Diceros bicornis minor: one gene and its partners. The protein of the gene in region 1 purifies or fractionates together with the protein of each later gene. This does not show direct contact. Links are inferred from orthologs where the notes say so. Each region holds a gene or a part of one and is shown on either strand. Other genes may lie near its edges.

Evidence for each region.
Region 2: the proteins of YAF2 (region 1) and MGA purify together in Homo sapiens (affinity purification with mass spectrometry; 5 studies listed by BioGRID and IntAct, counting the BioPlex papers as one, with this or other methods). This does not show direct contact. The link is inferred for Diceros bicornis minor from reciprocal best matches to the Homo sapiens genes YAF2 and MGA.
Region 3: the proteins of YAF2 (region 1) and BCORL1 purify together in Homo sapiens (affinity purification with mass spectrometry; 5 studies listed by BioGRID and IntAct, counting the BioPlex papers as one, with this or other methods). This does not show direct contact. The link is inferred for Diceros bicornis minor from reciprocal best matches to the Homo sapiens genes YAF2 and BCORL1.

Annotation. Positions count from the first base shown.
Region 1 is NC_080756.1:26,722,268-26,726,013, forward strand, and holds the start of YAF2 (YY1-associated factor 2), read left to right. Parts: upstream 1-1,330; 5' UTR 1,331-1,456; coding exon 1,457-1,482; intron 1,483-1,897; coding exon 1,898-2,023; intron 2,024-3,643; exon of another isoform or gene 3,644-3,746. UniProt on the Homo sapiens protein: Binds to MYC and inhibits MYC-mediated transactivation. Also binds to MYCN and enhances MYCN-dependent transcriptional activation. Increases calpain 2-mediated proteolysis of YY1 in vitro.
Region 2 is NC_080744.1:39,273,819-39,277,564, forward strand, and holds the start of MGA (MAX gene-associated protein), read left to right. Parts: upstream 1-1,049; 5' UTR 1,050-1,097; intron 1,098-3,746. UniProt on the Homo sapiens protein: Functions as a dual-specificity transcription factor, regulating the expression of both MAX-network and T-box family target genes. Functions as a repressor or an activator.
Region 3 is NC_080781.1:118,704,411-118,708,156, reverse strand, and holds the start of BCORL1 (BCL-6 corepressor-like protein 1), read right to left. Parts: upstream 2,547-3,746; 5' UTR 2,234-2,546; intron 1,889-2,233; 5' UTR 1,830-1,888; exon of another isoform or gene 1,809-1,829; intron 938-1,808; exon of another isoform or gene 672-937; intron 1-671. UniProt on the Homo sapiens protein: Transcriptional corepressor. May specifically inhibit gene expression when recruited to promoter regions by sequence-specific DNA-binding proteins such as BCL6.

The DNA of each region.
Region 1 (3,746 bases):
ATTTTATAACTGGAAGTTTGTACCTTTTGACTCCCTTCACCCATTTCACCCCCTCCCCACACCTCTGGCAATCAGCAATCTGCTCTCTGTATCTATGGGCTTGATTTTGTTTTGTTTCAGATTCCACATATAACTGATATCATATGGTATTTATCTTTCTCTGACTTATTTCACTTAGCATAACATCCTCAAGGTCCATCCATGTTGTCACAAATGGCAAGATTCCTTTCTTTTTTATGGCTGAATAACATTCCATTGCATACACACACACACACACCCCAAATTTTCTTTATCCATTCATCCATCAATGGACACTTAGGTTGTTTCCATATCTTGGCTATTACAAAATAATGCTACAATGAAGTGGGGGTGCAAATACCTTTTCAAGTTAGTGTTTTTGTTTTCTTTGGATAAATACCCAAAAGTGGAATTGCTGAATAATTTTATTTATTTTCAATATTTTTATGCTATTTTGAGGAACCTTCATTTTCCATAACGGCTGCAGCAATTTACATTTCCATCAACAGTGTACAAGGGCCAGTGTACAAGAGCTCATTTCCTCCACATGCTGTTGGTTCTTATCTTTTTGACAATAGCCATTCTAACAGGTATGAGGTGAACTTTTTTTTTTTTTAAGTAGCTACTCTAGAGGTCTGGGAGGCCAAAGGAGCGCATTTGAAATTCAAGCAGTGTTAGATTCCTGGCTTTGTCATTTCCTAATTATGTAATATAGAGGAAGTCACCTAACCTTTCTTGAGCCTCGGTTTCGTTTTCTCAAAATTAACGGCGACAGTCTGTACCTGGTAGAGCATGTGTGTGCATAAAACCAGACAGTGTCTTAAAACACCTAGCAATGACGCTCCCTGGTGACTCCCACCTTCCCCCAGGTACCCTTCGGGGCCAGAGCCGAGCATCCAAGGACAGGCGAGGCCGGGAGAGCGGTTCTACCTGGGGAGCGCGGCCGCCCACTCGTCACGAGCTGGGCTGACCTCCGAACGCCCGGCCCACCTTGGACCAGGCTTCGTGCGGGATGACGGAGCATCCCCCGCCGGCGGCAGGACGGACGCTTCCCCGCAACAGGGGCTCCGGAGCGCGTGGCAGCCCCGGGGCCAGCCGGGAGGAGCCGGGCAGCGAGGCGGCGCCGGCGCCCGCGGCTGCAGCGGCCACCCCCGCCCTCCCCGCCCGCGAACTTGCCGCGGGCGCTGGGCCGCGCTGGCCGCGTTTGAAGTCTCCGGCGCGGCCGCCGGTTGGCGGGCGCGGGTCACGTGCGCGCAGGCAGGAGTTTCCCCGACAGCTGGAGGCTGCGTGGGCTCCGGCGGCGGCTCCCGAGCTCGGCGGTGCGGCCTTCCCCGCCCCCTCCCGCCTCCCCGCCCGCTTCCGCCCGGCTTTTCATCCTCCTTATTGACAAACAGAGCGGCCGCGGCGGCGACTCTGGGCGTGCGCTGGTAGCCAAGCCATGGGAGACAAGAAGAGCCCCACCAGGTAACGGCGCCCGGGCCCCCGGGCCCGCAGCGTGCAGGCGGCGGGGCCCCCGACCCCGGCTTCGGGCGGCCGCCCAGCTCGCCGCCAGGGCAGCGGGGCGAGAACGGGGGCGGCGCCGCTGCCGCGTGAGCGCTGCCGCGTGAGGGGCCGGCGCCGGCCGCCCCACAATGGAGCCGCGATGGCGGCGGCCGGAGCGGCAGCCCGGGGTGTCGGAGCGGCGGCGGCGACTGCGGCCGCGCTCGCGCCCTCCGCCTTCCAGACCCCCTGCCCCTCCGAGCCGGGGCGCGGCGCGCCGGGGGCCCGCGGGGCGGGGGGCGCGGAATGGGGGCGGGGGGCGGGGTGGGGGCGGCCGCGGGGCCCGGGCGCGGCCTGCTGGTGACCCCGCGCCGCGTCGTGTCCGGGTTGTGTCCTGCAGGCCGAAGCGGCAGCCGAAGCCGTCCTCGGATGAGGGGTACTGGGACTGTAGCGTCTGCACCTTCCGGAACAGCGCCGAGGCCTTCAAGTGCATGATGTGCGATGTGCGGAAGGGCACCTCCACCCGGTGAGTCCCGGGCCTGCCCCGCGCGCCGCCGGCCTCCGGTCGCGGCGCAGAGGACGCCCCCGCGGCCGCCGCCCCCTCCCGTGACACTCGCAGACCCGGCGCGAGGACGCGACACTGAGGTGGTGGCCCCGATAGGAACTGGGTCAGATTGATCGCGACGCAAGCGATGGTTTGCGGTGAGGGGTAATTGAAGAGGCTGTCACGTTTTTTGCAGCCAAGAGAGAATAAATTATTTAAGGGAGGCATTAGCTACTGCGATTTAATTCCTATCGCTGGGTGTAATGCCCCCCCCCCCATTCCGGATATAATAACCTTGGCTGCATTGTTGTGTTAGTGTGTAGGAATCAAAGAAAAATCATGAAACTGTCTTTAAGAGCAAAAGATGTAATTCACTTTCATTCCTCAAAAACGTAGTATCTGCTTATAGAATACACAATAAATTAAACTTCCTTTTTTATGTAAATGTCTGGAGGGGTCAGATCAAGGTTTTGTTTAGTGTGTTTATTCTAGTTCTCTAATGTTTTATAAATAAATAGTTGGAGGTGAGCTTAGTCACAGAGACACATTTTTACGGAAAGTATCTGAATATCTTTAGTTTGATTAAATGGCAATCTATTAGACTATACAAATGAAATAAAATGATCTTTGTCTATTTTTAGCCTTTATTTTATTGTAATCTTACAGTGTGATAACTCAGTGTTTTAAAAAACCACTGAAGTGAATTAAGTGGATAAAGAAAATCATCCAGGAAATTCAGTCATTGACATTTTTGATCTGCCAGCACTTAGTTACAGAGTTCCTTCACCTTTATAGGAATGTAGCTTTTGAATTAATTAATTATAATCTTGTGATTTATAGCCTAATATTTAGATAACGTGTTTTGAAATTACCAAGTCTGTTAGAAACTAAATTATCACCAGAGTATAAGTATACTAATGTGAATTACTGTTGTTTATAAAAGGCCTACATGACATTGACATTAGATTTATATATTCATTAGAAGTTAGATTTCTAAAAATGAGATATCCAGATTTGTAAACAGCATTTACAGCATTTTATTTAATTTTTAAAATTTAAAGACAGAATTGGTTCGCAGTACCTTAAAATTTTAAGATTTGCTTAGTGAAGCCAGCTGCTTTTGACATACCTGGTTTTTTGTAAATCGTAATACGCTTTTTGTATATTAATTCTCATTTACATTAGATAAAATATATTGAACGTTTTTCATGATATCCTTTAAAAAGCAAACTTTCATACATCTACTAAATTCAAGGGAATTTAACTGAATATTTTAAAGAGAAAAAAGTACCTATTTGCTGAAACTAATGTGGTAACTATTTTTGGACCCGTGAGTAAAGTATGTTGAAAAGCAGAGTATCTTAAGGTTGCATTGGGTTTAGATTATATTTGTATATCTATGTTAGTACTTTGTACTTTTTAAACTGCTCAATAAGCATTTTCAGAAAATTTGGTTTTTGGAGGCAGGAACTTTAAAGTGGAGACAATTATTATAATCTTAATTTCTGGTACGATATTGTTGCTTTTTGTTGTTCCCTCTCTATTGTCTTGTAGCCATTAGAAAAATACTGAAACTAGAAGAGCCTATATGTTTATTTGCAGGGACAGCAAGGAAGGGGGGAAGCTGGTGTCCTACTCCACAGCCAGTCTTGGGGTTAGAGGAACCCTGAGAAATAGAGTAGGTGGTGGCAGCTCAGAAGAGAAG
Region 2 (3,746 bases), on another chromosome or scaffold:
AATGGAGTTCAAGGCAGAAGAGGTATGAATTGTTTTCATTGGGGGTTTCATGGGAGTAGAATGTCAGGTATTAGCATGGGGGTCGGTTTGCGAATACATTACAAAATTAATTCCTCCTGATATACGACCACGTTTTCTCACCGTTAGCAGGCGGTGCTTTTCTTGGTTCCAAAATACCATAGCTAGATTAGGCTGAACCAGAAAATGTAATAGGGCCACCTCTCTGGCCCCTTTAAAATGCCTCCTGCTCTTCCCACACCCATTTTTCCTACAATAGCAGTAAGTTTCCCAGGAAAGGTCTGGTCTTCTATCCCAAGAGAAATTCTAAGTATTATTTCCACTCCCTAGTGGGGTTTGTAGTAAGTCGTATTTAAATTAGCATTCTTTTCCACTTACCACGAAAGGCTGATAGTTTACTTGTAGGCAAATACCTTTGCTGTTTTTTGCAATATTTACAAGGGCACTCAGCAGGCACTGACTAAATGCACGCTCCACGAAGAAAGGTAAGCGGCTTCCCTAAGACCACACAGATCGAACAAGTAGGGGAAGGGGGACTGAAAGTGCCTGTTACATCCAGTCACACTCCCATAATTACCCAAATCGCCTCATTCCCAGCCCAAGGACCGGGCTTTCACGGGGACAAGAAAAGAACACCCGGGAGGTGAGAGCCAGGAGATCGGGAGAGGTGCTTTTCCCGGCATGCTCTGCAGCACACTGAGGGGCGCCAGACGTATCCCGGCGTGCATCGGGGAGCGCCCAAGGGCGATGGTTCCCGGCTCCTGGAGGGGCACGCGAAGTTAGACCGGTAGGTGTGAGCTTACTTAGTTTCGAGACCCTGCTTTCTTGTTTCCTCTTTATTAATGTAACCTCATAACGGCAGAAAAGAAGGTCCTCTAACTACCCTCTCTTTCCGCGTGCGAATGACTTTCGCCGCCGCTTCGAGCACGGTGCCAGGTGATTAGCGGTTAGGGGAGGGCCTGAGGTGAACACGTGACCTAACCTGGCAACCAATGACTAGCCGGGTGGTCCAGCAGCGCGAGGATTCCCGGACCCGTGAGCAGAGCGGCGCGTGGGCCCGCTCCGGTCGGCCCTGGCAGGTATGCGCAGGCGCTTTGGTCCCCACGCGCCCACTGGCGTGTATTTGGCGGGAGGTGTTAAGAGCCTGTCTGGGTGTTTTTGTGGGTAGGGGGGAAGGAGAGGGTGGGGGGCGATGCGTCACGTGGACGCCCCAGCCAATTGTAGGCCGAGGCGCACCCACAGCTTTCCCCAGCGCCCCGGGGTGCGACGTGTTCAGTGAGGTTCGGCTCAGCCCTGACGGTCTGAGCGCTCTTTCGAGGCGCGTGTGCGGCCTGTAGAATCTGGCCACGGGTTTTCGTGGCGTCTTGCTCTGCGGTGAGCACGGACGACAAGTTCTCGGCAAAATGGCTGCTGGAAACAGTCGCCTAGTAGGGGGAGCGCTGGGGCCGCGTGAAGGTCACATGACGAGGTTGGCAGCGCGTGCTGCTGGCGCGGGGGAGGGGGAGGGGAGAGGCCAGTCACGTGGCTTCGACTGCGCCGTCCTGTGGCTTTCAAGGGCCTTGCGGCGGCCGGATTGTCTGCTTTTACTCCTCCCATCTCGAAGCGTGGCAGGCGTCGGCGAGAGGCTGTGTGGTGTGGTGGAATGAGCCCTGGTGTGAGAATCAGAAGACCTAGGCTTTTGGTGGTTTTGCAATTAGCAAGTCGTGTTGCCCTGTTGGTCTCTATTTTTTCGTTTATATTACAGCTCTATATAGGAGATTATTTTTTTTTAAGGGCCTTCATATGGCGTATGACCTCTACCCAATCCCAATGTCATGTAGATAACAAAAGAATTAACAATGAACAAATTATTAACAATTATGAGACAAGCCCGTCTCCCCACAGGAAAAAACCCACAACAATCCAACTCGTCATTACAGTTATGTAAGAAACCTGGTGGAGGTAATTTGTATTGGGCACGTCTGTCCATATTTATCAAGTGGCATTTATATCTGGCCACAGTCTCATTTGAAAAGTATGCTGTATTTTAGACGTCTAGTCCCTATGTGTTTCCTGGAAAGAAATCAAAGGATAAGTAGTGTTGTCGTTAACTATGGAGATGAGGAAACAGAAGTAGTTAGAAGGGACTTGCTGATGCCGTATAAGGCTGACTAGAAGGACCTAGAAGTCTCTGTTTGGTGGGCCAATCTTTAAAATTTTTGACGCTTTCTGCCACCAGCCATTGGTATTTTTCATGGTTCTCTGCTTCCAGTTCCAGCTCTTCATTTTACCAAGGATCAAGGCCTTGGCGAAATGAAGCAGGCATAAATTATATATTTTTCATATCACTGCTTATGTTTTATGCTACCCTTTGATGTATCTTAAAGAGCCTTTGAATTGTGTGGGAGCACAATCTGGAAAATATTTGTTGAGCAATGACTGTTAATAGTTATCACTTTTGAACAATTATAATAATAGTTAACATCTTTCTAGTGTGGTACTTTGTGTCTTAATTCGTTTAGTTATCATAACAAACCTATGAGGTAAGTACTATTATCTCTATTTTTCCAGTGAGGGAAATAGCAACAGAGAGACTAAGTGATTTGCACAAGGTCATATGGCTGATAATTTTATGGAGTTTTACAGAATTCCTACCAGAATTCCTTTTGAAAATTTGACAAAATGATTCTAAAGTTCATTTGGAAGAATGAACCTGTAAAGTAGGAAAAATTTTGAAAGAGAAAAGTGAGGGCGAGTCCTTGTATAGTGAATATATGAATAAAGCCATGATAGTCAAAACAATAAGTAGTCACTCGGGAGTAGACGGAGCAGTGGAACAATAATCTAGAAATATATAAGGCTATTTAGTATTATAAGGGTGGCATTTTATATTAGTTCAGAAAGAATTTTGGCATTGTGTTAGAATAATTGGCTAACCATTTAAAAAAATGGAATCCTTAAAATGTAAATAAAATAAAATCCAGGTGAATTAAATATTCAAGTATAAAATGTGAAGTCAGAAAATTACCACTTGAAAGAAATGAGTAAACAGGTTTTCAGTCTTAAATAGGATGAACTGTTCTAAGCATGACTGCAAAGGCAGAATCCATAAGGGCAAACATTGATAGAATTGTTGCATAAAATAACTTGTAGTTGGCAAAAACACCATAAAGTTAAAAAGATAAATTTATTCATTCAATATTCATTTAACATATTTATTGAGTGCTTATTATGTGCCAGGCAGTTTTTCAGGTGTAAGGGATCCAGTGATGAGCAAAGCCAGGCAGATTATGGAGAAAAACATTTGCACCATCTGTTGAACCTAGAGGGTTAATAACCTTAATATCTAATAGATAGGTAAAAGACATGAATAGGTAGATCACACACACACAGAAATAAAAATAACCAATAAAGATAAAAATACTATTTTTCACTTATAAACAAATAACACAAAACAACCTTTTTTCCCCCAGTCTGACAGATTGGCATATATGTAGCAAAATGTTAGTACCTGGTATTGGCACAGGAGTGGGGAAATTGGCACACTCATACACTGCTGTTGGTGGATATTTACATTTGATCATCCTTTCTGGAGGGAATTTTGGCCATACTTATTGAAAGCATTAAAAACCTGTATGTCCTTTGACTCAGTAGCTCTTCTTCTTTGTTAAGGCACTAATTGGTAAGTTTACAAGGATGTTCATTTAAGAGTTGTCTTTGAAGTATTTTTTATAATAGCAGAGAACTGG
Region 3 (3,746 bases), on another chromosome or scaffold:
ACCCTACGGTTCCTGCACCCCGACACCGGGGAGAAAGCAGCCCTGAAGAGCACCCGTCGCACCTCCCCTCTGAGGTTGGAGGGTATTTTCTCCCAGTCTCTTCAAGACTTCATCACGGACAGCCCCCCCCCCAAAAAAAAACAAGCCCTTTCTCGCCCTGCCCTGCTGGCCAGCCTCCCTTCGGATCGTCGGATCCTTGGATCAGGGGGTTGGGGTCAGGTAGTTAACAAGACCGTAGCCTCCACCTCCCTTTCTGAGAAGTGGGGTAATTCCAATGGTCCCCCTCGCCCAGGATCAACCCGACCCCCGTTTCCATGGAGACCCCCGCCCAGCCAGGAAGAAGAGTCTCGGATCGTGGCGAACAAGTCTCACCTGGCTAAGGGAGAAGGGGGTGAAGAGGGGGTAGGGCAGGGCAAGGATGGGGTACGAAGGTGGGAAGTGGAGGGGAGCTGTCCCGAAGGGAGGGGCGAGGACAGAGCGAGCTCCAGGGAGCGCTACGTCCGGGGACACGAAGAGGACGGCGCCCCCGGGGGGCAAGCAGCACGGCTGCGGGGCGAAGAAGGGACAGCGTTGGGGAAAGGTTTAAGATAGAAAGAAGCGGGTGGGGGATACGAGAAAGCCGGGGAGTCAAAAGGGGTGGAGGGGTTGGGGGAGAGAAAAAAAAGACGCACCTGTTCCCGGGTCGGCTCCGCGGGGAGGTTCAGGCCGCCACCCGGGCTCCCTCTTACCCCGTCTGAGCCGCCACCCGCCTAATACTGCTCCGATCTGATGCCCCCCTCCGCCCCTTATCGCCACCGACCTCCTTCTCCTCTCTCGGCGGCGGCGGCGGTCGGACTCTAGGAACTGAGAGGAAGAAGGGAGGGCTCGGCAAAGCGGAGGAGAGACAGAGCCACACACTGGCAGCAGCCGCGGCGAGCGAAAGAGTGAGGGGGAGAGCGGTGTGTGTGTGTGTCTGTGTGTGCGAGCGAAGCCTGGTGGAGTGGGTGCCGGTCGCAGGGCTCGACGGGAAGTGGAGTCCGGCCAGGTCCGCGGGCGGCGCCAGCCCCCGCTCCGTGGGACTACAACTCCCAGAATGCCGCCTGCCCGGTGGGGGGGAGGAATGGGGAGGAGGAGGCGAAGGGAGGGAGGGAGCGAGAGGGAGGGACGAAAGCAGGGAGCAAGCGGCGGCGAAGGGGGCAGAGCCAAGCAGCCCCGGTGACACTGGGAGGGGAGGGGAGGAGGGGATCGCTGCGAGGACCGAGCGGATTCCGGAGAGGGAGGCAGCGTTGGCTGCAGCAAGCCAGGCAAAAAGCTAGACTCCCAGGAGAGGCGGAGGCGCTCAATCCGAGGGACTGCAAGAGCCCCACGCCCCCCCCCCGGATCGACGCCCCTCGAAGGGGGAGGTTGAGGAAGGGAAAAAGATTAGTGCGCCACGGCCAGGGGTTTCTCTCTCTTTCTTCCAACGCTCTCCACCTTATGCCCCAACCTGACTTTCTCAGGCCACTGGTGCCCGATCTAGTGTGCAAACCCGGAGACCCCAGATCTTCCCTGCTGGGCAGCACAGAGCAGACGCATTCAGTCCCCCTCTCCCAGGGGCCTGAGGGAGGCTCCTCTTGCTAGCAGGGCGTGACTCCCCCCTTCTTCCCGCCCCCCCCCACCCGTCGTCGCCACCCCCCCATCTCCCTCCCCGGAACCCCTCCCCTGAAGCCGGGGCTCGTGTCTCCCTCCCCGCCAAGAAACGGAGTCCCTCCGGGGTCGACTACCCAGCCCCCTCCCTTATACAAGGCCCCTTCCCACCAGTATCCCCTTCTTAGCTTTGCCCCCCTCACCGAAGAAATAATGGGGGCGACCTGAGTTGGACTGGTGGCTACTTTCCCTCCGAGACTAGCCGTCCTTGGCCACGCCGACCCTGTGTAGAGATAGAGAAGCACATTAATACTCCCGTTCTCCCCCTCCAAGTTCGGATCCCCGTGGAAATGGCTCACAAGGAAAGAGGGGTTGGTAGTGGAAGTGAGCTGGGGGTGAATCCCAATCCTCAAACCTCATCCCAGGTGTGGAAATCCAGGGATTCGTCCCTTTCCTTAAAAGCCATCAAATCGCTTGGGGGGGGCGTTAGTGGGGGGTAGATTATCTAAACCCCAATGTCCACGCGACTCGAAGCGACGCTCCATGTAGGAATAAGATACGAACTAGGCTGCCGCCGCGGGAGAGAAAGTATACCCCCCCCCGCCGTCGTCCACCCCCAAACACATACCCCTAGGAGAGTCAGATGGTCGAGGAAGCGGGGTAGGCGGTGGGAGAGCTGCAGAGTGAAAGGGTTTGGCGGGGAGGGTCCGAGGCCCCCTGAGAGCAGAATCCAGATGCTAAGAGGTGGGTGGGGGGTGCGGCATAATTGCAGACGGTGTCTTTCCTCGCTTTTCCCGGAATCGCCGCCGAACACCGTCTAACACTCGTAGTTGCTTACCAGTCTGTCCCCTAGCCCCATTTGTGCGCGTGAGGCGGCCGGAGCCCGGGAAGCCTGGGCACAAACTCCGCGGAAGCTGGCCTTCGCCTCCGCCGCGCTGCCGCGGGCCTCCCTCCCTCCGCTGGCGGCCCCGCCGATCTACCTTCGCCCCCGGCCGAGGCCAGACCCCGCTCGCAACTCCACGCCCCTACTCCACCCCCGGCTCCCCCTCCCCTCGCCCTCTCCCCGCTGGTCCGGCCCAGCCCCTAGCGCCGCCCCGCCCTACCGCTCGGTCCCGAGCCCAGCAAGTGCCCCGAACTCGCCCCCCGCCCCCACGCCCAGGCCAGTCCGGCAGGGCCTGGTTTCCCCCTCCCGCCGCGCCCCGCCCCCGAATCCACGTCCTACTTCGCCACCCAACTCGGCCCGGTCCGGGTTCGGCCCGCGCCCAGGCCACCGGAGTCCCCGGTTCGGTCCGGTGTGCGGCCACCCACTCCGCCCTTGCCTGGGTGCTGGCCTGGCCCGCTGCCTGCGCCCGCCGAGCCGGCCCAGGCGCGCGGTACGGGTCCGGATCCCGGTGCCGGCCTCGGTCCCGGCGGCTTTGCCGCGTCTCGCCACGAGGGCTTGGTCCACGCAAGATTCGAACCCGCGCGGGGTGGGGGCCGCAGAAAGCAAGTTTCTTTATCTTTCCTCCGCCCCCACCGCAGGGCCGCGCTGTCCCCACCCACCCACCCACGGCGCCCCCTTCACCTGGGCAGAGCCCCCCGGCCACTGTCGCAACTTTGCTCTTCTCCACGCCGCCGGGGAAGCGGGCGCAGCGGGAGGAGGAGGGAGGTGGCGGGGGGTGCTGGGATCAGGCCGCTGGGCTCCGGGAGGACACGTGGGGGAGGAGGGGAAGGAGGAGGAGGAAGGGGGGGCGGGCCTGCAGTTCTCGGGGCTCCCCCTGCCAGCCCCGGGGAAGCCGGAACCTCGCCGGGCAGCCGCAGACCCCGCACTGGCCACGGGGGAAGAACGGAGCCACCTTCCCCCGCCAGCCCCCGGCTCCAGGAAGGGGGGGCGAGCAACGCTGCTCGGGGTCGGAGAGCGAGCGTTTTTGCTCGTGCTTTATGTGTGACTCTCTCTCCGTTTAGCCTCAGTGTATGGGGGGGCGTAGGGTCTCGCAAGCCAGGGGGGGCGCCCCCAGCGGACGCCCCGCCCCTCCCCCGACCCCCCACTTCCCTAACCCGGGCGACCTCGGTGCATTGCTCTGGCGCTCGGGCACCGAGGCCGCCCGCGGGCGCAGCCCCAGCCCCGGCGCCGAAGTGGGACAGGTGCTGGGGAAGGGAAA